3 linked regions of the Rhinolophus ferrumequinum genome follow. The protein of the gene in region 1 interacts with the protein of each later gene in a pairwise test. Links are inferred from orthologs where the notes say so. Each region holds a gene or a part of one and is shown in the gene's direction. Other genes may lie near its edges. The genes, in order: ID1, MYF5 and MYOD1.

Evidence for each region.
Region 2: the proteins of ID1 (region 1) and MYF5 interact in binary tests that used the Homo sapiens proteins (3 or more experiments, as listed by UniProt). The link is inferred for Rhinolophus ferrumequinum from reciprocal best matches to the Homo sapiens genes ID1 and MYF5.
Region 3: the proteins of ID1 (region 1) and MYOD1 interact in a two-hybrid assay, tested with the Homo sapiens proteins (5 studies listed by BioGRID). The link is inferred for Rhinolophus ferrumequinum from reciprocal best matches to the Homo sapiens genes ID1 and MYOD1.

The regions. Positions count from the first base shown.
Region 1 is NC_046306.1:22,839,320-22,848,579, reverse strand, and holds ID1 (DNA-binding protein inhibitor ID-1), read left to right. Parts: upstream 1-5,674; 5' UTR 5,675-5,909; coding exon 5,910-6,332; intron 6,333-6,566; coding exon 6,567-6,608; 3' UTR 6,609-6,708; downstream 6,709-9,260. UniProt on the Homo sapiens protein: Transcriptional regulator (lacking a basic DNA binding domain) which negatively regulates the basic helix-loop-helix (bHLH) transcription factors by forming heterodimers and inhibiting their DNA binding and transcriptional activity.
Region 2 is NC_046293.1:74,209,736-74,219,824, forward strand, and holds MYF5 (myogenic factor 5), read left to right. Parts: upstream 1-5,376; 5' UTR 5,377-5,419; coding exon 5,420-5,920; intron 5,921-6,755; coding exon 6,756-6,831; intron 6,832-7,226; coding exon 7,227-7,417; 3' UTR 7,418-7,467; downstream 7,468-10,089.
Region 3 is NC_046294.1:36,064,604-36,075,305, reverse strand, and holds MYOD1 (myoblast determination protein 1), read left to right. Parts: upstream 1-6,062; 5' UTR 6,063-6,214; coding exon 6,215-6,844; intron 6,845-7,313; coding exon 7,314-7,392; intron 7,393-7,681; coding exon 7,682-7,932; 3' UTR 7,933-8,618; downstream 8,619-10,702. UniProt on the Homo sapiens protein: Acts as a transcriptional activator that promotes transcription of muscle-specific target genes and plays a role in muscle differentiation. Together with MYF5 and MYOG, co-occupies muscle-specific gene promoter core region during myogenesis.

The DNA.
Region 1 (9,260 bases):
TACAATATAACAAAGATTTGAATCTGACCTGTTGGGCCCCAAGCCCCAGCCCTTTTAACTATTCTGCAGCCAACTGTTTCTCCTCAAAGTGTCAAAGCTTTATGTTTGTTCAGAGGCATGCTCCTCACATGTCTTCATTCAGGCCATTTCCCCTTGTGCCTTTCCCACATGGAATGGCCAGAGAAGAAGTCACCTTCTCTAGGAAGCCCCTCTGATTTCCTCCAAGGCAGAAACTCATCCTTTTTTTGTGTTGCTAAGTTACTTAGCAGGAAATTTTCATAATATAGTCTTAATGTAGTTAGCATAGGACCTGGCGGGAGGTGGATGTACACAAATGTTAATTGGGGGTCCTAATTATCCTTTAACTTTCTCTCCTATTTGTCTGCTTGTCTGCAAAGTGTCTTTGACATTCCACCGCATGCCAACAAGCAGGCCAGAAGGAGGTATACTAAACATTTCAGGTTGGCTTTTTATTACACAAAGTAGCACACAAATACACTTCTGTTTAAAAATATATTCAAGAAATACCTATGTGAAATGGATCAGAGACCTAAATGTAAAACCTAAAACTACAACTTCTGGAAAATATAGGAGAAAATCTTTGTGATCTTGGGTTAGGCAGGGATTTCTTAGATATGACAAGAAAAGCATGAGCCATAAAATTAAAAACTGATAATTGGACTTCATCAAAATTTAATACTTCTGGGGGCGGCTGGTTGGCTCAGTTGGTTAGAGCACAGTGCTCGTAACACCCAGGTCGCTGGTTCGATTCCGACATGGGCCAGTGAGCTGCACCCTCCACAACTAGACTGAAAACAACAACTTAACTTGGAGCTCATGGGTCCTGCCAAAACACACTGTTCCCCAATATTCTACAATAAAAAAATTAAAAAAAAAGTGATTGCGGTTAAAAAAAAAAGTGATTGCAGTTTAAAAATAAAAGATATTTAAAACTTCTGCTCTTTGAAAGACACCAGTAAGAGGATGAAAAGACAAGAAACACACTGGAGAAAATATTTGTAAATCATGTATCTGATAAAGGATTGGTTTTCAAAATATAAAAAGAACTCTTAAAACTCAGTAACAAGAAAACAAGCGACCAAGTTAAAAGAAATGGACAAAAGAGAAAAGGGTAGCAGGAGGGATCCTTGTGATGGAGCTCTTCTGTGCCTCCACTATGACAGTGGTCACAGGCATCTATTGAACTGAATACACACACAGATGGGTGCACGCCAATCAGGTGAGATCTGAATTTCACATGAAATCTTGTTGTTACCTTGTACTGTAGTTGTGCAAGATGCTACCATTAGGGAAACTGGGTAAAGGATATAAGGGGTTTCTCTCTATCATTATTATTATGTTTTTAAACTTTTAACTTTATTTCAAGTGTGTTTTTCCAGGACCCATCAGCTCCAAGTCAAGTAGTTGTTTCAATCTAGTTGTAGAGGGTACAGCTCACAGTGGCCTATGTGGGGATCGAACCAGCAACCTTGTTGTTAAGAGCACCGCGCTCTGACCAACTGAGCTAACCCGCCGCCCCCTCTCTATTATTTCTTTCTTTTTTTTTTTTAATTTATTGGGGTGACAATTGTTAGTAAAATTACATAGATTTCAGGTGTGCAATTCTGTATCACATCATCCATAAATCACACTGTGTGTTCACCACCCAGATCTATTATTTCTTATGGCTGCATTTGAATGTACAAGTATCTAAAATTAATTTTTTTTAATGAGCAAAAGAAGTGAATGACACTTCATGAAAGATGAGTGGCATATAAGCACATGAAAAAATGCTCAACATCTTTAGTCATTCAGAAAATACAAATTAAAACCACAGCAAGACACCACAACAAATCTATTAGAATGATTGAGAAAGTCTGACCACATCAACTGTTAGAGAAGATGTGAGGACCTGGATTCTCCACACTGCAGATGAGAATGCGAAAGGGTACACCTCCTTGGGAAAACGCTGAGCAGTTTCTTACAAAGTTAAATACATACCTACTAGGTGACCCAGTCATTTCACTACGAAGTATTTGTCTAAGAGAAATGAAAGCATAGATTCATATAAACACTAGCATACAAGTATTTGTAGCAGTTTCCTTTGTACTAACCAAAAACTATAAGTAACCTAAATGTCTATCAACAGGTAAATGGATAAACAAATTGTGTTATATCCATACGCTACTGCTACTCAGCAATAAAAAGGAATGAATATGGATGGATCTCAAAATAATTATGCTGAGTTAAAGAAACGAGTCTGAAAAAGCTACAATAAAGAGTATATACTTATAGATGATGTAATACACAATTGTACACCTGAAATCTATGTAATTTTACTAACAATTGTCACCCCAATAAAAAAAAAGAGTATATACTGATCACTGCACTGTACACCTGAAGCTGAAGCTGAACAATAATGAATGTCAACTACAAGTTTATATATACATATATATGTATATATATATATATATATATGTATATATATATATATATATATGTATATACTTACAAGAAGCAGAGTACAGCATTAGGAATAGAGACAGTGGAAATGTAATGGCTGTGTGCGACGTCAGAGGGGTAGTGGATGGGGGGAGGGGGGTTGACACAGTGTGAGGGATATAAATGATAAACATGTAAGTATTACTTTGTTTTGTGCACCTGAAACTAATAAAAAAAATCAAAATAATAAAAGAGTATATGCTATATATACATTACATATGGATATACTCTGCATGTATATACATATATATGCACAGTATATACTGTACTTCATTTCTATAAAAATTCTAGAAAATGCAAACTAATCTATAGAGAAAACAGATTAGTAGTTTCTTGGGTGGGAAAGTAGAGAGGGAGAGATTACAAGGGGCAGAAGAAAAATTTTAGGGGTGATGAAGCATATGTTCATTTTCTTGATTGTGGTGATGGTTCATGGGTATATCAAAACTTAACAAGTTGTATACTTTAAATATACACAGTTTGTGTATGTCAATTATACTTTAATAATACTGTTTAAGACCAAAACAAAAGTTAAATACCTATGAGAAGATAAAAGTGAAATTCCCTTTCCACATTGCTCTTCTTCCCTTCTCACTCCTTTTTACAGTGGTAACATTAGTAATTTCATGTTTATACTTTTTTCTTCTAATGTTTTTATTGAGGTGCAATTTAAATACAGTGAAATGCAATGTGCCTTGACTAATTCATACATTGTGTAATCCACACCTCATTTTGATATGGATCATTTCTGTCACTTCAGAAAGTTCCTTCACACCCTTTCCCTGGCAACTTCCATTCTCCACTCCCAGAGGCAACCAGCATTCTGATTTCTTTCACCATACATTAGTTGTGCCTGTTCTAGAACTTCATGTAAGAGAAATCATGCAGTATTGTGTTTGAAATTTTTTCTGCAGCATAATTTCCTCTCTCATTTTAAATTCATTTCCAGATACATGTATACTTGGGAGGAGTATGTTTGCTTTTTTACATACAAGAGGTCCTAATTTAACCTCCAGTCTAACTCTTGCTTTCTCTACCAAAGGTAGAAAAAACCTAGATATCTCTCAAGAGCTATCCTTCCTCTGCTGTAGGGCCACTCCACAGCACTGATGTTCTATTCATCATTTATATAACGCCACTGTTGATGGATATTTAGGTTATTTCAACTTCCCCTCTTGCAAACAGCACCTCAGTGGACATCCTTGAGCAGACACCTTTGTGCCCCCTGTGTGTAGGTGTCTCTGAAGTTGATTCCAGCAAGTAGCATTGCAGGTTCAAGTAATAAACACTAGATAATGGATTAATATTCTAAGTTCATCTGTTTGGTCATTGTCCTTCCAATTCTTTAGCAATTCTTCTGCACAGAAACATGTTCTCTTCAATTATTAGAGGATTGCTAAACAAGCCTAGGGAGTTTGGAGATCTTGCATGATGGGGAGACCAGCTAATTAATTGATGATGTCTCTCTCCTTTGAAACCGGTCTCCCTGGTCAGTTTTCCTGGTTTCCTCATGTGGAGGTCCGTGGCCGATTTATTGTCCTTTCCTCCAAACTTCTGTAGGAAAAGGAAACCTGATGATACCCAGTGAATTAACTGCTAAGGGGAGGAAAGTCCATAATATCACCCTCCCCTGTCTGGGATTAGAATTTTAGCCCTGCTAACACTGTGTGTCCTTGAGTAGCTATTCTAAGCCTCAGTTTCCCTGCCTCTGGCCAATCTAGGGTTCTGGAAGCAGACTGCCTGCCCTGGCAGGAAAGGATTGCTTTACAATGAAGTGCGCTTTTATAATAATGCAGCCATTACAACAGCTGTGGCTCCTGGGAGGCTTTTTGAGTCTCAGTTTCCTCCATTGTATAAAGAAACCAAACAGCTCCTCTCTTGAGTTGTGGCAAGGATTACAGAAGATGATAAAGGCAAACTCTTCACACAATGCCTGCCTGCCACGAAGTAAGAACGCAATAAATTGTCACCTGTGTGATTATTATCGAAATACTTGGCAGATGTTAGGACTCAGGGGCCTGAGACTCAACTAAATTCACCTAGCAGTAAAGTTGGAATCGGAACTCGGGCGTTTTTCCCCAGGCTGGATGGAGGGGGAGTTGAAGGTGGGGAGAAACCTCCCAAGCGGCCCAAGCTGTGGGCCTGGTGGGGAGATTCCAGGTGTGGGGCGGGGAGGTAAGGTTACCCTTGTCCGGCGACCGCGCCCTCTAGGAGCGCATTCCCAGGCCTCTCGCACGAGGTCCACAGGTGACTGGCTTGGGGCTGGGGGAGCGCAGAGTCCCGTTTGCCGTCTCCATGGCGACCGCCCGCGCGGCGCCAGCCTGACAGCCCGTCCCGGTTTTATGAATGGGTGACGTCACGGGCCTGGCGTCTAACGGTCTGAGCCGCTTGTTCAGACGCTGACACAGACCAGCCCGGGAAGCGAGGGGGGCGGGGGAAGAGCCTCGAGCTCCGCAGCTGCCGCGCCGTGGGAGGGAGACCCTGCTCCGAGGTCTTTGGGGCGTGGGGGTGGGGTGGGGTGGGCGGGAGGAACAGCCAAAAAAGGGAGAAAATATTTTAAATCACTAGTTCATGCAGCTTTGGGGATTTTTTTTTGCAGGGGCTGCAAATTCAGGGTAGAATTAGGAGATGCATCCCCACTCTGGGAGCCTTCTATCTGGTTCAAGTCCCAGAAGCTCAGCCCCCAATCCTAGAGGAAGACTTTCCGAGGCTAATTGCTCCCACCGAAAGGGCCTGGGTAAGTCCCCCAGGAACATTAACCAGCAACATTCTCTGGGAATTGGGAAAAAGAGAACAGCCCCGGGGAATGGAGTGTAAAGGAGATCCCGTTTTAAATTTCGGCCCAAATATTCGCGAGATCGTGGTCCCAGAGGTCATTTTCCAATAGGGTCCAAAAGCCGGGGCTCTAGTAGTGAGCTCTCTGGGCGACTCAGAGCTAGTCCCTTCTCCATCAGGGCCTCAATGTCTCTCATCCGGGCTGGAGAAGCGAGAAAATGACCCCAGGAAAACTGATTCTTGAAGTTTTTTCGTTATCGGCAATATCAGTTTTGCCTCCTCCCGGAGGAGTCCAAGACAGCCCTCGCCTCCACTAGCCACCCTGCCCTGTACCCTCCCACTCTTTTGGTTCCTGAGACTCTGGTCCCTTTTCCACGCCCTCCAGGGTGCGCTATCAGAGCAGGAGGCGGGGCCCAGAAGCTCTCGAGGCCACGCCTCTACATCTCCCATTGGATGCTTTTGAACGCCTGAGCCCGCCCCTCGGGGTGGAGCCGCAGAGCCTTTATAAATAGTGGGCTGTGGGGCTTCGCTCGCGCATTCTACAACCGACTCTACAGCGTTAAAAGCCCTTCCCGCGGGTCCTTCCCTCGCTTTCTCCGTTTCGTCTCCTCTCCTACACCAACGCCATAATCATGAAGGTTGCCAGTGGCAGCGGCGCGGCAGCCGCGGGTCCCAGCTGCGCACTAAAAGCCGGCAAGACGCCCGGCGGCGCTGGCGAGGTAGTGCGCTGTCTGTCCGAGCAGAGCGTGGCCATCTCTCGCTGCGCCGGCGGCCCCGGGGCGCGCCTGCCCGCCCTGCTCGATGAGCAGCAGGTCAACGTGCTGCTCTACGACATGAACGGCTGCTACTCACGCCTCAAAGAGCTGGTGCCCACCCTGCCCCAGAACCGCAAGGTGAGCAGGGTGGAGATCCTCCAGCACGTCATCGACTATATCTGGGACCTGGAGTTGGAGCTGAACTCGGAATCTCAAGTCGGGGCCCCAGGGGGCCGGGGGCTCCCCGCCCGAGCTCCTCTCAGCACCCTCAACGGCGAGATCAGCGCCCTGGCGGCCGAGGTGAGGTCCGAAATGGAGCACGATATCATTTTCCTTCTACAGATGGGGAAACTGAGGTTCACAGAGGAGGGGGTCTTGGCCCTACGTCCACCCCAAACCTTCGGGCACCGGGCTATGTAAGGGTGCCCAGGGAGATCGATAAAAGCGCTCCCTCGTGTCTTCTGGGGAAGGGGGCGCTTGCAGCCTTGTCTCCTCCAAACCTCCCGTCTCACCTATTCTCTCTTCCTTTCACAGGCGGCATGTGTTCCAGCGGACGATCGCATCTTGTGTCGCTGAAGCGCGGTCCTCCGGCATCGGCGGACCCCAGCCCTTCGGGGCGGAGGAATTAGTGCTCTCTGGTCCTCCCAAGCGCTTCATTGCAGCTGGGGAGAAACAAAACCGAGATCGGCGGCCATTGGGCGCTTGCTAGAGCCAGCCCAGAGCTGGGGGACTGACGAGGGCAGGCCGACCCTCCCTCCACACCTATCAGCCACCAGAGACTTGGGGGGAGTTCCCCCCGTGTGTTTCTATTTTTTGAAAAGCAGACATTTTAAAAAATGGTCACATTTGGTGCTTCTCAGATTTCTGAGGAAATTAATTGCTTTGTATTGTATATTACAATGATCACCGACTGAGAATATTGTTTTACAATAGTTCTGTGGGTTTTTTTTCTGTTGTTATTAAACAAATACTTTAGATGGTGGTCACGTTGCAGTGTTCTTGGATTGAGGGGAGGGGCCTGGGCTGGGGGGATGACCCCTGACCCTTTTTGCAGCTGGTGCTTGGGGGAGGAGGACTGGAAGGCCACATCTGGACTGTCACTTTTACCGGCCTGAAGTGAGTGTTTCCGGTGTCTTTAAAGTCTATTCTTATCCCCTATCCATGGCTATTTTCCTGCTCCCTAGTGTCATAAAATTAAATCCTTTGGGGTTTCTCAAAGTGGTCATTGGGCCATCTGGGTCACCTGGGGAGGTTGTTAAAATGCAGATCAACCTGCCAAGATCCCCTCTGGGTTGGAGTATTCAACAAGCCATTTAAGTTGGAGAACCAGGTCACTGGACCACCTGCACCTTTGCCAAGATGGGGGAAGTGAGATCCAGAGGAAAGGGACTTGCCCAGAGCCTCAGCTTATCTAAGACAGGACTTCATTGCCCCATTCCCCAGTAGGAGGTGCCTCCCCCAATGGGCAGCCTAACCCTGGGTTCCAGCAGTCTGCCCTGGAGCTCCAGGCTTGTCCAAGTGGGTGAGCAACTTGGCAGGACTAGCCTGGGCACAGCTGCAGGGCCACCTGCTCTGGGTTCGGACTCAGCCCCCTCACCCTGGCCTGGCTATGCCAGAAGCTCATAGAAACCTCCTCTCTCTCCCCCAGGGCTCCTGTGTGGGTTCTGAGGAGTGGGCAGGTCAGTCCCCTGCTCCTGAGCAGGAAAAGGGTGTCATCGGTAAGGGCCTATCTGCCTGGACACGTGCATGAGTTTGTACTCATGGGGGAGTGCATATGAGTGGGCCTGTGTGTGGGACATGAACTGCTGTTCCCCCCCTCCCCTCCCCTGTCGGGCTGGGTCCTCTGGTGTACAGGCATGGGGGTGTAGTCAGAGGGCAAATGTGAGCATGTGTTCTGCAGATAAGTACAACCTCCAGTTGTTTGGGCTTGTGTGTTGTGCCTAAATGCATTGTGGGCATCTCTGCATGGATTTGGCGTGATGGATGGGTTTGCTTGTCTAGGGGCTGCAGAACCACACTGGGCTCCTAAGTGTGTAATTGTTCTGTAGATTGGCTGGCATTCCTGGGTCTTGGCTGGTCAGGGGTGGCGGTGGGGGCAGTTGTATCCAGGCAAACCCTTCCTTGAAAGTTCAAGTGCCTCCTTTCCTGGGAATTGTTAGCCCTCAGGACACCAACCCTCAAGTTTCCCGGCCAGGTCGAATCCCATGTATTACACAGGGAAAAACCAAAGTCCCCGAAAGGGCAAAGCACTTGTCCCAGAGAGGATAAGAACTTAATATTATTTTGTCAATAAATAGAATAAAATAAAGAGCACCTAGCACCATGAGCCTGACTGTACGTTCAACCCTTTACATAAAGGATTTCCTGGATCCCTGAGTGGGGTGCTAAAGTCAGGATTCTGATCCTAGGTTTACAACAAATAGAGGCTCAGAAGGGATGAACAAAAAAATGTTTTGAATTCAAGATTATCGTCTATTGAGCATTAACATTAAGGTAGATAACATTCCTTGTCTAATCATGTTGTACACCTGAAACTAATAAATATTGTATGTCAACTATAATTGAAAAATAAATTAAAAAAAAAACACCAGGTACCACCCTCTCCAAGAACATTACGAACTTTATCAAAGAACGTAATATTTGGAGGTAAATTAAGTCCTTTGCTACTCTCCATGGACTCCCCTCCCCACTGCTGTTTTATAGCATTAACCTCGTAGAATTGTAGAGAATAAATGAAGTAGAGCACTTAGCCTGTAGTGTTTGCTAGTTATAAATTATTAATTGTCGCCTGTGTGTCCTTGGAGTGTCCTCAGAGGCACACGTGTGCACCCTATCCCTCCCGTGTGTGGGCCCCCGCCTGCAAGCCCACCCACGGGAGCGGGGGCGTGTCCCCGCGTACACTCCTGCACGGTAGGGCGGTTTTCCAGGGGAGGACGAGGCTGTGGCGGGACCTGGCCCCCAGCCCCAACCGTTCAGGCACACTCTGGCTTCCACGTTTCCCTCTTTTCCCCTTTGGCCCGGGCCCAGCCCATCTGGAGGCCGGCTCCGCGGCGGCCTGGGAGCGTTTCCATCAGCTGGGCCCGAGGAATGCGGAGCTATTTAACCTGAGCATCCCCAGGTGTACGGAGGCGCCTGGCTGTCTGGGGCCCGCCGCCTTTGGCACGGCCGCGCTAGACAAACAGCGCGCCGCCCCCGCCCTGCCCCTCCGCCCGCAGCTGCAGCCGGGCC
Region 2 (10,089 bases), on another chromosome or scaffold:
TTATTAGGTATCTATGTTTTTCCTGAAAATCAATATTTTCCCTAAAATGTATGTATATTCACATACCTATATTTTAAAAAAATCAGATTTATACCACGGCTGAAGTCAAATACCATATAATTGACCAAGTGAACTCCTTTACTTTATGATTGCACATATATTTAAAATAAGATCTGTGTTATAACCTGCTCAGCAGCAGAATGCTTTTATCAATTCATGGACTTTACTTGCTGATAGATTTGATTCAGTCTTTGCAAACTAAATCCTCTCTATCTCTCCTAGCTGGGTAACTTGAGAAATTGTTTGGAATAAGTTTGCCTATAGAAGTCTCTTCATTAAATAGAGCAAATATTTCCCAAAGACTTCATGTGACCTCCACTGCTGTAGCTGACATGTTAGGCTTTCCAATGAAATCCTTGGTGTGTTTGCAATTAAAATGTTTTTATTGGATATTAATGATGTTAATCTTTACTAAGGCCAAAGCCAAAGCCACACACACACACACACACACAAGAAAAACACAAAAGAATAAAACAACCCAAAAACAAACAGAAAAAAAACAAAAAACAGGGCCATGGAAGCAGAAAATCAAGATGTAATAACTTGGTAAAAATAAGCAATTTGGGATTTAAACTGAGCCTCTTCCCAGAGGCAAGCATAAAGATATCCCATATAAAATAATGAATGATTTTTTGTTTTTTAATATTACTATAGATACAGTTTGTGAAACGTGAAGTGAAATGTCAGTTTTCTCAAACTAACTTGAATCATCATACCTGGATCATTGAATTCCAAGCCTGAACATAGTGGAAATCCAACTTATGTCTAATACAATCTTTTCTTCCTTTTTTTGCCCCCAGGCTCTATCACATGTTTGGGGGGTTGGGGGGTGAGAATGTGGTGCTGAAATTCAGTGTTTCTAATTGTTCTTGAGGTGGCCAGAAAAGTCTTGGGTTGCTTAACCTGACCTTTATCCTTATTAAGATATTTTTGACTTAAAATTAGAATGTATCTGTTTGTGGGTTCCTCTTAGTAATATTTTATCCCATGTTTTAATCTCAAAATCCTCCTCCCAGAACACCATATATGGGAAAATAGTTTTTAAATGTTTTAGTTTAAACTTTGAATATCTCATTACCTAACTTGGTGCAATAGTAAATTAGCAATAGCATGGTATTTCCTCAAAGAACCAAGCCATCAACACATTTCTCCAACAGACCCCTCCAGTCACTCCCTTAAACTCAAAAGCAGTGTTACAAAAGATGATCCTTGGTCTTAGAGGTTTCATTCTGAAAAGCAATTTTGCAAGCCTAGTTCAGAGTCAGCCTATGAGATGGAATGGCTATGCCATGTGCTGGAACAAAGATAATGCTGCAAGAACTGGCTCCTTTCTCTACTCTCAAGGCTGCTAAAAGTCCTTATTTAGGCCTTTGATCTCTCCTGGGAGTCTTCGAATTCAAGCAGAAGCCAATGTCTTCCTCAGCTGTCTTCTCCACAAATTCTTCCAGCAGCTTTGGCAGGTACTAATGTGTTTACTTAGGTGTGCCTGGTTCCCAGAGCTAATAACAGTTTGATATTGTGTAGCACATTGAAGTCATATATAAGCAAAAATCTCCAGAACAACTCCCTTTGTCCCAGAGTTGTTAAGGGTCTCAGGCAGAGGCAGAAATGAATTGAAATAGGCTAGTCTTTCTGTGACATTTGCTTCTCCCACTAAGAGAAGCATGGAGAATTTTCAATAATCCAGAATTCCTAGGGAGGGCAAAATTTACTAGGAAAGGAAGCTCTGAGTATCATTTTGCTGGTGCGGTCTGTCCATCAACACTAGGATTGTTGCCACAATGCTTAAACTAAAATAGTTTCCCTTAAAAAGAAAAGTTGATGATTACTTAAAAGTCTAAGCAATTAAAACCTGCTTATAAGTCTAAATTGAAAGAACATCAAACCTGTATTTATTTTTCTTCAGAATGTGAAATGAAAAAAAAAAAAATTGACTATCTACTTCTCCAGAACCTTGGTGGGCATTTGTTTATAACACCCTATGTGGCTTAGTTTTCTTCCCCTCTGTTCCTGTCTACCTGCTCCTAGGCTTTCCTAGCAGTCAGTGTCGGACTCATCATTTCTTACAACTGTTTACATGTTAAAATACATGTGGTTTTCTCTGCATATGAGAAGTCCTCTTCTCTGGAGAAATAGTAGAAAACAGATTGTATTTTAAGTCTTTTGTATGAGGAACAAAAGCCAAAGCTAGTCTGATTTTGAGTAAAAGAGGGCAACCAAATAACCAACAGAACTTTTTAAAGTGAAAATACTTCCCTGTTCAATTTCCCCCCTCAGACAACAAACAAACAAACAAACAAAACTTTTTTTTTTTCTCTGTATCGCTCACGCAATTTCCCATTTTTCTCTCACAAGGTTTCCCCTGGGAAAAGCAGCGGAACCTCTCCTGAATTGGGGGACCCCAGGCATCTTTGAGGAGCCGGGCTCCCCTCCTTCTTTGTACACTGCCTCCCACTTTTTAATCTTTCTCCTCTCACCCCTAACAGCGGTTTAAAGGTTTTGTCTCGTTTTTTGATTTTGGTGCTCTGAGATCCTATTTTCAGCACTTGAGTCCCAAGGGTCGTCAACCCCGGACCCTGTTTCCCCGCTAGCAAGTCCCATTAAGCCGCTGGACGCTTGTGTTTTCTTGGCTTCTTTAGCTCCAATCGCCGCGGCACTCTGGTAAATTTGTTTTGAGATCACCTTACCAAAGACAGCCCTAACATCTGAGAACGACCGTTACTGACAGAGCCTCCTGAGTGACAGCGACTTCCCAGGACTGAGAGCGGAGGGGAAGACGTCAGGGACCCAGCTTTTCCAGTTTCTGCTCTGCACCGCTAAGCACTCGCACTGAGCCTGAACCTGTAGAAGAAGAAAACAAACAAAATTTACCTCTAGGACTACAAGCTAGACAAGGGAATGACTAGTTTCCTAATCCTGTGTGGCCTGGACAAATTACCACCTACCCCTGGAGCTTGGGTTCCCTTCTTTTAAAAATGATTCTATTAATAGTCCCCATAGAGTCGTTGGAAGGAGTAAATGAGTGAATACATGGGAATGGTTGAGAACAGTGCGTGGCAAATAGAAAAGTCTTAATAATTGTTTGCTACAAATATGCCACACTGAAGAATTGGTACAAAGCATATTAGGTGTGTGGTGGCAAGAAATCAGCTGAAAGGGTTGCAAAAGTGAAACCTCTACCTTCCACCTAAACTTTAAGGAGCAACTTCATTTGTGCCCAGATCATAAATCTGCACATAATTCTGTTTAGCTGTAGCCAGTGTGCTAAGATCTGAACTCCATAGCCAAAGAAAGTGGTAGTGCTGCTGCTGGCCAGAAGTTGTGGGACGTGGCTGAGAATTCCTGGATGAGATGGCCCCACTATTGTATTTCAGAGGCAGCAATGTGCAGGAATTCCAGTGTTTCCACCCGTGGATGCAGCCTTCCATTCGGCCTGGGTCCTTTAGGAACTTGACTCTTTTATCTGGTGTAGCCCTGGGTGTTGTATTCATTTCAAAGGCATTCACCTGTTAATAGTCCTAAATAAGGTGCAGATGGATTTCCCACTGGCCAGACAATTAAGCAGCCCGTTGGTGTGAAAGGGAGCCTGATTTTTCCAAGCATGATGGTCGTGGTGTCTTTGCCTTAGGGATGACACAACATGGGAGAGGGGACTGCAACTCTGTAGCAAACCTTAGTGACTGTCACTCTCCTAGCCCTGGTTTTCAGGACCTTCACTTTGGGGAGAGGATCTCACCCTGAAAAAGTTAACATTTATCTGGCCCCTGCGGACGTGAAATCAGCCAGCCAGTGTTGTTTTAGGAAAATAATTTTACAGAAAAGTGGTAGAAAGGAAAGTGCCCCTCTCCCACAAAGAACTTTGGAGCCACATACTTACTGTACTGGATGACCGCAGATCGAGATGTGAACATTCCCTCATGTTTTAATGGGTCCAAACCCCCAGACTAAGTCTATTTGTGTAAACCTTAAGTAATTGTTTTTCCTAGAGATAAACTGCACCCCCCACCCCCAGTGATCAGGAAGTAGGTGAAGGCCAGAGGACGATTGGCAAAAGCTTATTAATAGATTCATTCTTATTTAAATGACAGCTCTCCCCTCTCGTCTTTTACCCACAAAAGTTTCAAAGACCCTGCTACGATTGCTTTTCTGGAAGGCTTTTGTCGCGGGAGTGTGTGAAGTTACTCAGGGTTTGAGGAGTTGGAAATTTTACACGAGCCGAGAAGGATTGCTGTGCCGGCAGCTGGGATGCATCTGTAACGGTGCGAGTTTGCCCGAAAGCAGAAAATCAGCGACCCCAAAGCCCAGCTTGGCTGTTTAGTCTGTTGAAATGATAGGGCGGAGCAGATAGAGAGCGAGAAAGGAGACGCGCCCCTGGAAGGGGAGTTCGCGGTGTAAAACTGGGTTTCTTCTAATACAGATCCTAGAGACGCCGCGATGTGTATCTTCCGCCAGCCCAGGGTCTAGCAAAGGCCTGGTGCAAAGGAGAAGGCGCTCAATAAACGTGTGCAGAAGGTGAAAAGGAAGGAAGGACGTTCCCTGTCACCTGAACCCTGATTGAGCCCACCTCCTTTTAGAGGAGCAGACAGGGAGAGAGAACTCAGAGCAGTGAGCACCCCACCTACTCCCAATAACATAGAGCTTATAAAATGACAGTCTGATCTGAACAAAATACATATTTAAAAAAAAAAATCTAGATTTCACTCCATGATTGAAAGTGTCACTTCAAGTTTTTAGCAACCGTTATTCCGGTCCACTGACAAAAAAAGAAGCCTGAGATCACTAAAGTCTGTGAAAAAGATAAACAAACACCTAAAACTAAAGTCATTTACCCATATCTCTAAATGGGAAGGCAGGTAGACTTTTGGTGTCAGCTGAGAGTAGGGAGTTTTATCTATTGTTTTTCAATGTGTGAATAATTGCAAAAAGTTGGACTTCCTTCCTTTTGTCTGTGACACTCTAAGTGAATCTAGAAAGTGCAAGTGAGCAGGTTGGGGAGCCATGCCCCTCCCCCGCAGAAATGCAGTAAAACCATTAGTGTCAAAAAGAGCAGTAAACAGCAAATTGTCTCTAGAGGAAAGACGGAGGTTTGCCCAGGCAGTCCCAGCGCGGGTGGCGGTGGGATATGCTAATAGTGTCTGGCCACTGGGGCCGGCCTCCCTCCCCCAAGAATATATAAAGAGCCCTAACCCCAGCACGGCAGACCCAGGCCGCCAGGCGTCTGCCCTTGTTAATTACCGGAGAAACCAACCAGGGAGCTTCGCCCGCCCGAGGTTGGCTGTCCAGCAGCCGCTCCGGGCTCAAGTTTCTCCCTCATCTCTCTCACTGCTGTCCAGGTGCCCCGCCGGCCTCACCATAGAGGATGGACATGATGGATAGCTGCCAGTTCTCGCCTTCTGAGTATTTCTATGACGGCTCCTGTATCCCGTCCCCCGAGGGCGAATTCGGGGATGAGTTTGAGCCACGAGTGGCTGCCTTCGGGGCGCACAAAGCAGAGCTGCAAGGCTCAGACGAGGATGAGCACGTGCGGGCACCTACAGGCCACCACCAGGCTGGCCACTGCCTCATGTGGGCCTGCAAAGCATGCAAGAGAAAGTCCACTACCATGGATAGGCGGAAGGCGGCCACCATGCGTGAGCGCAGACGCCTGAAGAAGGTCAACCAGGCTTTCGAGACGCTCAAGAGGTGCACCACGAGCAACCCCAACCAGAGGTTGCCCAAGGTGGAGATCCTCAGGAATGCCATCCGCTACATCGAGAGCCTGCAGGAGCTGCTGAGGGAGCAGGTGGAGAACTACTACAGCCTGCCGGGACAGAGCTGCTCGGAGCCCACCAGCCCCACCTCCAACTGCTCGGATGGCATGGTAAGAGATAGCTCTGGTACCTACTTCGTCACTCCAATCTCTGCCAAAAATCCATACATCTCATTTAAACCAGGTGTGGCAAGCAAATACTCAAAGGTTATTTGGTGGATAGTTGAGGGTGGGCAGACAGTTGCTGTAAGGGAAGAGAGGTGCCACATTTCAAAAGATGCTGGGAAACATAGCTGTTGAACAGCATTTTAGTTTGACTTCCTATCAGGTTCTACATGTACGTTGTAGAAGAGAGGTGTCATGTGAGATAAGTGGCTGTGAATGATCAATCACATGTTTTCTTCATTGCTCAGTTTATTTCCAAAATATACGATCAGTGGAGCCTTCCATTCACTAACATCTAGAGGCAACTCTGAAATTCCCACTGCCCTACAGTTTATAACTTAATGAAAGAAATACCCTCGTGGCTCCAGTCCCTGTTTTGCTGAGGCCTGGCTGGATGGAGATGGTGATGCATTCATTACAGAGAGCGTTTGCTCCAACGCTGCCAGGTTTTAATGTGTTTTTGCCCTGGGAAAGTGTTCTCTCCCTGAATTAGTGTGGCTTCCTTCTACTCCAATCCATTTTGCATGGTTAACCCACTGCACATTGCTGCTAAATTCCACCCCCCTTTTCCCTTTGCTGCTGCACTCCTCTTCCCCAAGCACAGAGATTGACCTCAGTGCCCTTGCAACTTGGTGAGGGCTAACTCTTCCTACATCAAGGCAATGAAGGTGATTGACAGGGGTCAGTTTACGGAGCTAGTGGGCAAGCACTGCCTCTCTCTAGGTCAGAGAATCTTTTGCCAAGACTTAAAAACAAACTTCTTTTTTGTCTTGTACTGTAGCCTGAATGTAACAGCCCTGTCTGGTCCAGAAAGAGCAGCAGTTTTGACAGCATCTACTGTCCTGATATATCAAATGGTAAGAACCGATGACTTCAGAAGAGTTGAAAGACCAGTTCAACTTCACAATTCAGCCTGTTAAAGCAGAGCCTGCCCTTCCTGGCAGTACCGGGGAAGGGAATAGAAGTGATGGTTCTTATGGGGAGATCATGGCAGAGCAAACTACACACAAAATGCACCTAATGAATACATATATATGTGCACGTTCTCTTGGTATATTACTAGAGGGCTTTTCTGCATCCTACATTCACCCCATTAATTGCTAGATATTTGTTGAAGATTTTTGCATCAGGCTTTCTGTGACCACCTGACCTCTTGGTGTCAAAGGTGCTGACCTACAGTTTAAGGGGCAACATAAGCAAGTCTGTATATTTGGTGATTTTTTTTTAATGGTTTTTCTCTTTGTATCCTTAGTATATGCCACAGATAAAAGCTCCTTATCCAGCCTTGATTGCTTATCCAGCATAGTGGATCGGATCACCAACTCAGAGCAACCTGGATTGCCTCTCCAGGACTCCGCTTCTCTCTCCCCAGTTGCCAACACTGATTCACAGCCCGCAACTCCAGGGGCCTCTAGTTCCAGGCTCATCTATCATGTGCTATGAACTAAACATCTAGTCTCAATCAATTCTGCCAGGAGGACCTATTACACAGGAGGAAGGAGGCCCAAGGAGTCCAAAAGCAAGACAACCTGTACATAGATTTCCTTTCAGTTGTAAATTTGTACATACTACCTTGCCACTTTATAAGAAAGTGTATTTAACTAAAAACTTAACCATTGCAATTAATACTTTATTTCTTTTCTCTTCCTCTCCTTTTCTCTCCTCCCTCCTTCTTTTCCTTCTTCTTTGCTTTAGATACATAGTTCTAATATTATTTCTGATAGGGGGCAATTCATTGAAGGTAGCTGGTTACAATGCTTAACTTATACTTTTTGTTTTTTTATAAATATCACTTATCAAAATATTATCTCTGGTGTTTAGATCTTTATTTTTTTCTTCAAAACATTAGAACAGCTGGAAACCAGTTACAGGAAACTTTAAATATATTTAACTTTTGTTTTTCTCTTTAACCCTTTGATTATATTGAATTAAATAAAACTATAATAATACTGCCTAATGGTATATATATTGATCTTTTCTTATAAGAAATACATCTTTTTAATGTAAGCACAAAAATAGTACTTTGTGGATAATTTCAAGATATAAGACATTTTGGAAATTCCACCATAAATAAAATTGTTTAAATGGAGAAATATTTTGGTTCATGATTTTTTGAAAGAATACCTCTAATGGAATTAGTAGTCATTGACATGAAATCTTTAAGATAGGGCTAAAAATAACAAAACAAAACAAAAGTTGGCTTTGAGGATAAATCTGAATATTTACCATCTCATGGACTCAGTTTAGGTCCTGTTGATGTCACAAATGAAAATACCATATTTCCAGTTTAATCATATTTCCAGGGAGCCTGCTAAATAAAAATTTTCCTTTATCTTAGTACTGTACCATATAATGTCAAGTTGTATGTGTGTGGAGGACCGGAGGTAGAAGTTATTCAGGCAACAGCATGTTTAAGAAGAATATATACCATTACATCATTTACTACCTACAGTGCATTAGAAATCATGAGTTAGGTCATATTTACCTGCCTGAAAATATCTTGATTTATTAATATATTAATATTGTCAATAAAATATTTAAAGGTATTGAGCTGATTGAGCTGATTTTGTTGTTGTTGTTAAAGTGTCAGAATAAGAAAACTTACACAAACTATAGTAAAGTGAAGCAGAGTGCAATAGTTTCTATTCACAGCCTTTTTGCTTTTACTAATCATATTTTATGTGTACTCGTATGTGTGTATGTGTGTGTGTGTGTATATTTGTGTGCGTGAAAGATATGTACCTTTTACTGTTCATCACTTTAAATCTCCTTCAGAAAGATTTGAGATGAAAAAAATAAAACAATTAAGTGGAAAATTAGTTTGAGACAGTCATTGGGATAATTCTCACAAGTTTACCATTGAGAGAGATAAAAAGGCAATAGCCTTGAAGCATCTAAAGTAACTGAGCACAGAGAGCAATAAAAATAATTGTTTCATCTTCTAATTTGTACATTAGTTTAAAATTGCTAAGGATTTGTAGTTATATATATTAATCAACCGAAGTATCGGACTCTGGTACAGCTTTGCAATCATACTATTCTCAGGAAGGTTTTCCTTTCTTTCTGATGTGATTTTTCTTGTGCTTGTCCAGTCATCAGGCTTAAAAGAATGGAAATTATTTCATAAAAGGCGGGAGAGAAAAGGTGCTGAGTTTAAAAACTAATGTAATCACTGTCTGTTAACCTCAGGCTCTGACATGGGATACTGACTAATAGCACATACTAAGTCCTTTATCCCATGATTTGGGAGTGTGAGGATTTGAGGCATAGAGAATTCAAGAGGGCATGATAGAGATTTACATATACTTTCAACATAAATTTGAGTTACTTGTTTTTTTAGGTACTTTTTCTCCTTTTTATACTTTATGGGGAGGTTGCAGATTTGTTGTTATTCTTGGTAGAATTAGAATAAAAGGAACTATCCAAAGGTCAACTTGTATTTTTTAAGTTCAGTTTTAAAGCACACCACTGTACTCTGTTGCATTTAATAAAAGTAAACAGAGAACATTATGTAATTTTTAATTCAAGTGAATAGAAGTGAACTTTCCTTCTTACCAAACCCTGGTTACTTCTATAACTTTGGTTACTTCTATGACTTGCAGATATATTTGATATTCTCAGTGAATATTATCATGCCTCAAAGTATTTCATTAGTTTTCCATTGGTCTGGACTTAATACAAATGGTGATCATTGTATCATTAAAGACAATACTCTCCATGCTAGGTTGCTCGATTAACCTCATTTCTAATGTACTTAGGAAACAGCTCAGCAAAACTCATCACACTCAGTCACATAGACTTTTTTGACAAGGGGCCTACAGAAATTGGTTCTCCAGTAGTCCAGACCCAGAAAAGTCTTCTCTTCTCCAAGAAAGTATGAGGTGGGGGAGGAGGAAGTCTCGATATTGGCAAAATAGCCAAGTTAAGAACAGGATTTTGTCATCTGTAAATCCCCTAGAGTGAACAATTGGGCTGCCACTGAACTTGTATCAGACCCCCTCACCTCAGCTGATGAAAAAACGCAACCAACACACAAATTTCTAGGAGCAACTAGGAAAATGTTCCCTTTACACCTGTAAGCCTGATGAGGAGGAGGTTCTCAGGAAATAAGTCAA
Region 3 (10,702 bases), on another chromosome or scaffold:
GTGCAAAGTTGTGCAGGCTGCAGGGGTTTCTCCTCCAATAAATGCCAAGCTCACATCAGGCACCCCCCCGCCCTGTGTACCCAATGCACTGTACACATGCTTTTGTGTGCAAAACGCATCCCATTCTTACCTCACCCTGTGGTCCCAAGTCAGCCGTCAAAGCCATCCTCAAACCCCACCTCGTGCCACCCCCACACCCCTCACCCAGCGCAGGCAGCATCAGACATTCAGGCCACAGTTTCCTAGAAGAGCAGGAGCCATGCCTGTCTGTCCTCCATCGAATCCCCTGCTCCTGGCAGAGGTGACTTTCAATAATGACCTGGTCTCTCTGCCTGGAATGCTCTTCTACAGATGGGCGTATGGCTTGCTCCCAAACTCCTTTTACCTCTTTGTTCAAATGTCACTTGATTTAATTCTGCAGCTAGTCTGCGCCGGACACCCCAATCCCGCTCACCCTGCTCTGCTTTTAATGTTTTTCTGCAGCACGTCTCACCTTCTGCCATACTCCAGAATTTACTTATCAATATGCTTGTTGTTTGCTGTCGGTGTTGCCTATTAGAATGTCAGCTCCACGAGGGCAGGGAATTTTGTTTTGTTCCTGCTTTATTCCCAGCTCCTGACACAGAACATGGGCAGCGTAAGTATTTGTTGAGTGAGTGAATGAATCACCGAGTGCCCACAGTACACGCACTGCCCCACACAGCCACTCCCTGCACACCGGGCAGGAAGGAAATACCCTTGCCATTTGTTGTCACCATGCCCTTCCCCCTCCACATGGACCCCTTTTCTCCAACTCCTCTGCTAAACTCCCAAGCCCTGCTTGTATGCGGGAGGCTGGGGAGTACTCCAAAGTGAGAAGTGTGGCCATCTGTAAAAATCTCTCGGCCCCTGGCCCTGAATCTGGACCAATTCTATACTCTCTGACCACCTCAGACTGGTCCCAGGGCAGGATTCATATCTAGTACCAGGCAGTTTCAGGCTTTCCGGGGAGAAAAGTTGGCAGGGGACAGAAAGGGGTACCCAGGGTGGATCTAGGGACAAGAAGGGAAAGCCTGGGGACAGAGAGGAGATCTGGGGCTGGCCCTGTCCACCTGCTCACTCATGTTTTCACCCTCTGGCCCTTGGCACCTCCCCACCCCACCCCACCCCACAACCCCAGCCAGATATGCAGCCTCTGCCAGCCCAGGGGGAGAGGCCACAGATCCAGCCTGGGCAGGGGCAGGGTGCTTGAAGACTGGGGCAGGTGCAGGCTGGATTGAGTTTCCAGAGGCTATATATATATATGTATATATATATGTATATATAAAGGCGGCCGGGAGCCCTGGGGCCGGCCGCTCCCTGAGGGTGCAACTCTGTGGGGCCCAGCCAGGAACGCTCTGCATTCCTGCCCAGAGGCTGGCTCTCCATTTATAGCCCCAGGCAAGCTGGCCAAGGGAGCTGAGGAAGAAGGACTGGAAAGGGTGAAGGGAGAAGAGTCCAGGGAGCCCTGCCTCCCCACCTGCTGCCAAAGTTACTCCTCATTGTGAAGACTGGAAAACCAAGGACCTGGGTGAGGTGTGCATTTGCCCACATCACACAGTCCACCATTCTGATCAGCCTGAGTTGGACCGACAGGTGCTGGAGGACGCCCCCTCCGTAGGTCCTTTCGCCCATTGCCACCAGGCTCTTCCAGAACAAGTCCAGCACCTGTTTTCCCGAGAGACACCCTTGACTAAACTCTGCAATATAAGGGTTTAGACTCTTTCAGCTTCCAAACTGGACGTCCTTTCCCTCCCTGCCCCCAACACTAGGACTAAAAGGGGCCAGCTCTCAGGGCGGATGCACTTCTCCCTGCTCTTTCAGCAACAGCAATGGGATGGTGGTGTAGGCAAACCTCTCCCCCAAAGAGGTGGTGGTACAACCAGGAGAGTGACCCTGAGCAGGCACGGGTCCCAGGCCTGGAGGGGTCTGTCACGGTCGCTGAGTCCAGTGAGTGCCACCCTGTTTAAGCATCAGAAACTGCGTAGCAAACAAAATCCCACTTGGAAATCTAATATAAAAGTGGCATGCACCACTAGCATGTGTGTGGTTTCATAACAGTGCTTCCTAATTACTGAAGATGAAACTACAAATCAAGTGTAAAACTGTCAAAGCATTTTAGATTTCTAAGCCACTAGCGATAAAATATTAAATGCGTTCAGTAAGCTCGAACATATAACATTTATTTACTGTAGAGTCACCTTGATGATGGCGCTGAGGTGATTTTTATGAATGCAAAACACGAAAAGCAAGGTTGTAATCATTTCAGTCTCGGTATCCAAATTATTTCTATGTTTTCTTTGCTTGCTCAGGTCTGAGAAGTCTAGATTCGTACGGATAAGTGGTTTGAAGAGTTCACTTGGAATCTCAGGGTACTCTTCAATTAAACGGTTTGATTGATTCATTCATTCATCCAACAAGTATTTATTGAGTGCCTACTATGTGCCAGGCATTCTGCTGAGGCTTGATAAATACTTGGTTCAATCTAAATCACCAATGTCACATTATTTATGTTCCTCATTGTGAGTGTAAGTCAAATGAAAAAAGACAATATTAAAGCAGGCCATGTATAATCGCTCAACCTAAAGGAGCATGTCCCAGCCCCGTGGGCCTGAGTCTTGCCTGGAAAAAGCAAGTATGACTGAGCATGTATGTCTAATCATGTATGCGACTATCCAGTTTAGAAGGAATACAACCATCCACCTTAAAGACATGTTTCAAGAAGTTCAAATATATGCATAGAAATTCAAAGGGCATGAGGCCACGCATTCATTCATTCAACATTTATCAAGTTCCTACAGTGTGATAGCCACTGTGATGGTTTCTGAAAAGGCCATGGTGAATCAAACATCCCTGCCTTGATGGGACTATGTCAATCAATGAGCAAACGAATAAAGAAGATAACTAAAGAGCGGCTGTGCTAAGAAAGACCTGAGCAGGGTGATGTGATGCAGCTGTCCTAGAGAGGATGTCTTAGAGACATCCCAAGGAGGTCACGTTTGAGCTGAGACGTGATATATAAAAAGCAGCCGATGTTGGGAAGAGCCTGGAAGAGACTGCGATAATCAGCGAGCACAAGGCTCCAAGTGTTGGAAGACAGGAAGGGAGGTCATGCTAGAATGGGGTGACCAAAGAGAACAGTGGTTCCAGGTGAAATTGCAGAGATGGGCTGAAGGCAGGTCGTGCAGCGCCTCACAGGCCAGGGTGAAGAGGTGAGATTTTATTCTAAATGCAATGAGAAGCTGTTGGGGAGTTTGAAGCACAAGAGGGATATAATCCCATTTATGCTTTTAAAGGATGACTCAGGCTGCTGTGTAGTGAATGGATTATACAGGGGCAAGAGTGGAAACGAGGAGAGCATCCCCTACTGGGGTCACCCAAGCCAGCAGTGTGGCAGCTTAATCCAAGGTGGTCACACTGGGGATGGACAGACTTGAGAGATGTCTTAGAGGTCAAATGGACAGGTCTTCCACATGACCAGATCTCCCTTCTGGAATGCCAGCCTCAGAAATCCCCCTGCCTACCTGTCATCACCACTTGGATATTGAATACTTATTTCAAATTTTGCCCAAATTTGGACTCTTGGCAGACTTACTCTTCCCCAACTTCATTCTTTCAGAAGTCAACCCTAACTCCTCTTTGTCTCACTGCCCACATCCAATTACGAATACATTTTGCTGGCTCCCTATTCAAAATATATCTGGAATTCAAATACTTTCACCATCTCTACTGCTGACAGCCAGATCTAAGCCACCATCACCACTCACTTGGGTTATTGCAATAGTCTCCTAATCGGTCTCCCTGCTTCTGCCCTTGCTCTCCATAACCAGTATCCTCCTATTAAAATTAAGTCCGATGGTGACATTCTTCTCTTCTCCTGAAGCCCTCCAGTGGCTTTCCATCTCAGAATACAATTCCTTTGCTTTCTGTCTGACCCATCCCCCACCACTCTCCCACTTGCTCACCCTGCTCTAGTCATACCAGCTTCCTTGCTGCACTTTAAGTCTGCCAAACAGTCTTGCCCAGGACCTTGGCACATGCTCTTCCCTCTATCTGGCTCCAGATATCTGCTTCTGCCCTCCTTTCATTCAGGTTTCTGCCCAAATATAATCAGCCCAGAGAAATAACTTTCATCACTTTGTTCCTTTGCCTTGTTTTCTTTTTCTTTGTAGAACTTATAACCTCCTGACATTATATACTTCCTTGCTCATTCGTTTATTGTTTGTCACCCTACCCTAAAATGAAAGCACCATGAAAGCAGGGTCTTGGTTTTGTTCATTGCTCTGTCTCCAACACCTAGACAGGTACCTGGCACATAATGGATGTTCCATAATGTGTTAAATGAATAAATGAAGGTGGTTTTATGGAATGAAGGGACTTGAGCACTTCACGAAGAAGACCTTCAGCACTACCACAAGTGGCAGAGAAGTTAAGAAGGCAGGGCTCCAAGAGAGCCCTCGAGGTTTGATGGGAAGGGAGGACTTCCCAGCACCCAAGGGTCAGTTAGGACAGATCCCAGAAGTTAGTGGGAGAGGCACAAAGATCACTCTTGCTTTTATCTCTTGGCTCTAGGAAGAGAGACCTCAGTAGGTGTATCTGGTTCAAGGGAGACCTCTAGCCAGAGTGCAGAGAGGAAGGTGTGAACTGCAGAGCAGACCTATGGGGGTAGGGGGACCTCAGGCTTGTGAGGAAGCCAGAGATGCCATGGAGTGGTTGCCTCCTCCTATCCCCAGTCTCTGCAGTGGGCCTGCTGGGAAGAAATGCAGCTGCGGCCTCTGGGAGCTGAGCCCTAAGATTACATGGGCCCCTGGCAGGGCTCTGTGCCCCAGCTAACAGCTGGGAAGCCCACAGAGAGCACACCAGCCAACCGGTGCCAGCAACAGAAGCAATCCCTCTTGCTAGTATAGCCTTACATCTCAGACTGAAGGCTTCCACATCTTTGGTCTCCAGAATCTCACCACCGACCACCACAATCACTCTAAGAGATTGCTGTTGTTGTCCTCAATGGGTAAACAGGATCGGAAGGCGAGTGACTTGCACAAAATCACGCATGAAACTGGGGGTCTGGACTCGAACTTAGGTCATTGGTCTGTAAACTCCACCCTCAAAGATTCCACTCTGGAGTCTGGGCTTTCCAAGCCTTTGCGCGATGAACTTTCCTGATGCAGCACTGCGAGGCGGAGGCAAGCCCCAAGGAGATGGCGTTTTCTTCCCAGCCGAAGAGGCATCTCTGAGAGCAGCACTGGACACCTGGCTGCCAAAATGCACAGTTTGACTCGGGCAGGCGTCCACTTCCCTCCCTCCCTCCAGGCCGGGGCAGGAGTTGAGCTTGGAAAGATTGGCATGAAGCTTTAGTAGTGATCCTGGACTCCTGTATAAATGAGACTGGATTTCTAAGCGTCCAGGGAAAATGAGCAGGAACTGGCCTAATGGCATGGTCACCACGTCCACTTTATCTCAGTTTTGCCTACTTGACTCTCGGGTCTATCTCTCATTGCGCGTTTCTCCGCCTCTGACTCCCCAGCTTTCTGCTCGCTAAATGTCTCAGCCTCTTGCATATATCTCTCTCACTATCTCAGCTCTACGTGTGTCTCTACCCCATTGCTATGTGTCTTTCTCCAGGTCTGATTTCTACTCCTACTCTGCTTTGGGTCCCCCGCAAATCAGAGGACAGAGGGGCCCAAAGTCAGCTGGGAAGTGAGAGCCCGCGCGGCCAGCGTTTTCCGCAGAGATAGGAGGAGTCCTGTGCTGGAGAGGGTTGGGAAGAGTGTGCCCGGGAGCCAAGTGTAGCAGCATTGGGCTGCCAGCCTCTGCCTCCTTTCCTGCCTAGGGAGGAGCCGGACCACGCGCGCGCGCGCGCGTCTAGGGATCGGGGCCTGGCCAGTCTCTAGCCCCTGCGGCCACCCTGGGGATCCCAAGCTCCGCCCCGTCCCGTTCCTATTGGCCTCGGGCGCCCCCGCCCCCAGCCGCCCGCTCCCGCCCCCGGCGCCTGGCGTGAAAATAGGGGTGGAGAAGCCCCAGGGAGCTGCCGCTACTTTCCGCGGAGTCCATCAGGCGGGACAGGACGGGGCAGGGTACTGGACGGTCAGACCCCCAGCATTTCGCTATCGCGCTGCAGGAGACCCGAAGAAAGTTTCGGGCAATCCCTGCCTCCGGGGTTGGGCGAAGCCAGGACTGCGCTGCTCCCCGCCGGGATATGGAGCTCCTGTCGCCGCCACTCCGCGACGTAGACTTGACTGGCCCCGACGGCTCTCTTTGCAACTTTGCCACAACGGACGACTTCTACGATGACCCGTGTTTCGACTCCCCGGACCTGCGCTTCTTCGAGGACCTGGACCCGCGCCTCGTGCACGTGGGCGCGCTCCTAAAGCCCGAGGAGCCATCGCATTTCCCCGCGGCCGTGCACCCGGCCCCCGGCGCGCGCGAGGACGAGCATGTGCGCGCGCCCAGCGGGCACCACCAGGCGGGTCGCTGTCTACTGTGGGCCTGCAAGGCATGCAAGCGCAAGACCACCAACGCTGACCGCCGCAAGGCCGCCACCATGCGCGAGCGGCGCCGCCTGAGCAAAGTCAACGAAGCCTTCGAGACGCTCAAGCGCTGCACGTCTAGCAATCCTAACCAGCGTCTGCCCAAGGTGGAGATCCTGCGCAACGCAATCCGTTATATCGAAGGCCTGCAGGAGCTGCTGCGCGACCAGGACGCCGCGCCCCCTGGCGCCGCTGCCGCCTTCTACGCGCCCGGCCCGTTGCCCCCCGGCCGCGGCGGTGAGCACTACAGCGGCGACTCGGACGCGTCCAGCCCGCGCTCCAACTGCTCCGACGGCATGGTAAGGCTGGAACCCCGGGCTAGAAGAGAAGTGGGGACAGCTCTCGGGAGTATCTGGGAAGCCATTCCGAGGGCGGGGAGCTAACTGACCCTCCAGGGAGAGGTTTGGACAGGAGTGGACCCCTTGTCCCGGGCAGCTGCCACTGGGGTGGCCTAGTGTTTTGGGAACACATCGTACAGATGCAATCCACTCGATGGGGAGCACTGTTAGAACACCTCTGCGCCGTGGTCTGCTTTTTCTACACTTGTCCTTATTATCAAAATTAAGATTTGTAGCCCTAGGTGACAGTCTGCCCTCTATTTGGCCCTGCATACTGCAGACAGCTCCTGCCCACCCTTACCCCCACCCCTATCAGGGCAGGAAATTCGAGGGTGAGATTTGGGAAGTTGTGGAGGGGCGGCCAAAGAGAGTGATGTTCCAGGCTCGCCTGGTCCCACGGGCCTGAGTCGGTCGCCCTTGCCGTTTGCAGATGGACTACAGCGGCCCCCCAAGCGGTGTCCGGCGGCGGAACTGCTACGACGGCACCTACTACAGCGAGGCGCCCAGCGGTGCGTATTCGCGCCTCCTCACGTTACTCTTTGACCTGCCCTAGCTTCCCTTTATCTAGGATCCCTGCCCCATCCCTCCTCCTCCCTCCACACACACATCATGGCAGATGGCACAAGGAAGGAAATACTAAGCATGTAGCTCCCTCTCTTTTCGCTCCCCACTCTCTCTGGATAGCCCCAGACAATGGCAGGTCCTCAGTTTCCCGTCTGCCGCAAAGGACTGGGCCCAGAAGTTGGAGACTTGTCCGCGGCTCAACACCTACATACTAACCTACCCTTCCCCGCGCAGAACCCAGGCCCGGGAAGAACGCTGCGGTATCGAGCCTTGACTGCCTGTCCAGCATCGTGGAGCGCATCTCCACCGACAGCCCCACTGCGCCCGCGCTTCTGCTGGCCGACGCGCCGCCGGCGTTGTCTCCCGGCCCACACGAGGCCGCCGCCCCGAGCGAGGGCGATCGCAGCGCCCCCACCCCTACCCCCGACGCCGCTCCTCAGTGCCCCGCGGGCGCCAACCCCAACCGGATCTACCAGGTGCTCTGAGGGTGTGGGCGGCCGCGTCGGAGGACGTCGCTGTCCACCTGCCCGAGGGATGGTGCCCCTAGGGTCCCTCGCACCCAAAAGATTGAGCTTAAATGCCCCCCCCAACTGCGCTTTTAAAGCGACCCTTCCCAAGGGAGGATAGGCAGGAGAACTGATGTGTCTCCTGCCTCCCGCACCCCAGGGCAAGGACACAGCCCGTTTTTTCCACGCAGCACCCTTCTCTGAGACCCGCTGCGATGGCCGTTATGTGTTCCTCGGTGGGCCACAGATGACTCTGGAGGGGCCAGGCCCTTTCTCTTCCTCGACACTTTCCCCCATGGGGGTGGGAACCGCGCCGACCCCAGTCCCTTGACGCCGAGGTCGCTTATGGGGGCGTGGCCTCTCCTTTTGCTAGCCCCGAAGACACGCGCTCTTTCCCACAGCCAGCGGGGTGCGCTCAGGTCCCAAGTGTAACAAGTGTAACGGTAACCACTCTCACCCCTCCCCCTGTTCAGGACCACTTTTTTGTAATACTTTTGTAATCTATTCCTGTAAATAAGAGTTGCTTTGACAGAGCAGGAGCCCGTAGGGCTGTATTTATCTCTGAGGCATGGTGTGCGGTGCGACAGGCACTTTGTATGTTTATACTGCAGCGGGCGAGCCGCGGGCGCTCGCTCAGGTGTTGGAAATAAAAACGCTAATTTATACCGAGGTGGCTCCGGCTTTCCCTAGGGATGGGGGCAGGATTTTGAGGGGACGGAAAATCCACAAAGGAGTACCGCAACTAGCCCTGTAGGCGGCAGGTGGATTGCAAGGAGGAAGCCTGAGGTCAGGAGAAAGAAGCGATGTGCCTCCCATACGTGGGGAGGTTTCTAAGACGGTGAGGAGCAGCACCACACGCAGGTCAGTGGTTCTCCTGTCAGGGTGCAGATTAGAATGATCTGAATAGTTTTCAAAAAGACCCATGCCTGGTCTCCTCGCCACCAAAGGTTGTGCTTTAAGGTATCTGCCCCAGAACCTCAGAGTTGGTATTTTTCAAAAGCTCCCCATTTTTCAAAATGCAAGGTTGAGAATCACACGCCTCCATACACAGAGTGAACCCAGGTGTGGTGTCCAGAAGGATCACTGGGAAGTAATGGCCCCAGGTGCCACTCAGAATCCTCATGGCTACAGAGGATGCGATAGGGTGCTCGGAGCATTACGTGTTTCCCCGAAAATAAGACCGGCTCTTATATTAATTCTTGCTCCAAAAGATGCATTATGTTCAGGGGATGTCATCCTGAAAAATCATGCTAGGGCTTATTTTCCGGTTAGGTCTTATTTTCGGGGGAACACGGTATGAGTGAGTGTGAAGAGGCGGTAAGCTGTGTGGTACTTACAGGCTCTTAGTGACAGGCGTAACCACAAGGGGAAAACTTTGAAGGCCAGACAGGGACAGGCGCTTCTACTTAGCCAGTAACCCAGCACTTACAGCTTTTGGGCACTGCTATATCTCACAGAAACAGGAGCCCAGAGCCTGCAAGAAGAGGGGCACATGTAAACCTGTTATCATCACAGGCCGCATACATGCTCTCATCAAGATATAAACACTCTGAGAGCAGAGGAGGGGCCATTGATTTAGCCAGGGTGCTGCGAAGTCTTCCTGGAAGAGGTGCCACTTGAGCTGTGTCTTATGAGACACACACACACACACACACACACACGCACTCTGCCCTCCCAGAGGCCCTTGTCGTCCCCTGGAGGGATGGCCTGGCAAAAGTTCTTCCCCACTCTCAGAGCACACCACCTCCACCCCCAAAACACATACGCTTGCCACCAGGACCTCCCCACATCCCACCTTTACCCTTTTTTTCCTGAAAACCTTGCAAGCCCACTTTCCAGGGCTCTGCTCAAGTGGGGGGCCCTGAGGAAGGCAAGATGTGATGCCAGAAGGAAGGGCCTCATTACTTATCTGGGGATCTGCTGTCTGCTGTAAGGAGAGCCTTACTCTTCCCGACACAGGGTCCCCGAGGAGCTGCCAGAGCTGCTCTGTTACTAATGATCCTCGGCTTTTCTTCTGGCTTCTTCCACAGATGCACCTTGGGGATCCTTATGCACTTTGGGGTTCTTTATAGTCCGTTGAGATTCCTTGGGGCTCATTCATGAATTCATTCATTCAACAGATGCCAGGTCTTATGCTGGGTGAAAACAGACACCAGTAGACGCAATTCCTGTCTTTGGGAAGCACCCAGATATGTGGGGAGGTTGGATCTTTTAGCAGCTGGCGACATCACAATGAATTAAGTGCTATAATGGGGGTGTATGTGGCAGAGGAACATAGTAGGAACAGAAGGTATGGACAAACAGGTAACCCCTAATAAGAATCTTGAAGGAGTTGGTCAGGAAAGAGGAGCCAAAGAAGAGTGCTCCAAGCTAAAGAAACAGCAAGTGCAAAGACCCAGAGGCGACAGAAAGCAAATTGTGCCTTCATGAAACCAAAAATTTCACAGGGAGGGGCCAGAAGGGAGATGGGGGGAAAGCAGGCACAGGGCCTCATTTGTGCTTTATCCTGAAGGCAACAGGGAAACAGAGAGGAATCTGAACAGGGGAAGGATACAAATAAATGTATATTTTAGAAAGGCCAGTCTGGGCTGACAGAGTGGGAGGATGGCCGACTTGTCAGGAGGCCACCAGGGTTGCTCAGAGGAGATATAACATGGCCTGACCTGGGGCAGTGACTGGGGATGGGAGAGAAAGCATAGGTGTGGAGACAGTTGTGCCAGATAAAGTGTAGGTGTTGATGGTACAGTGG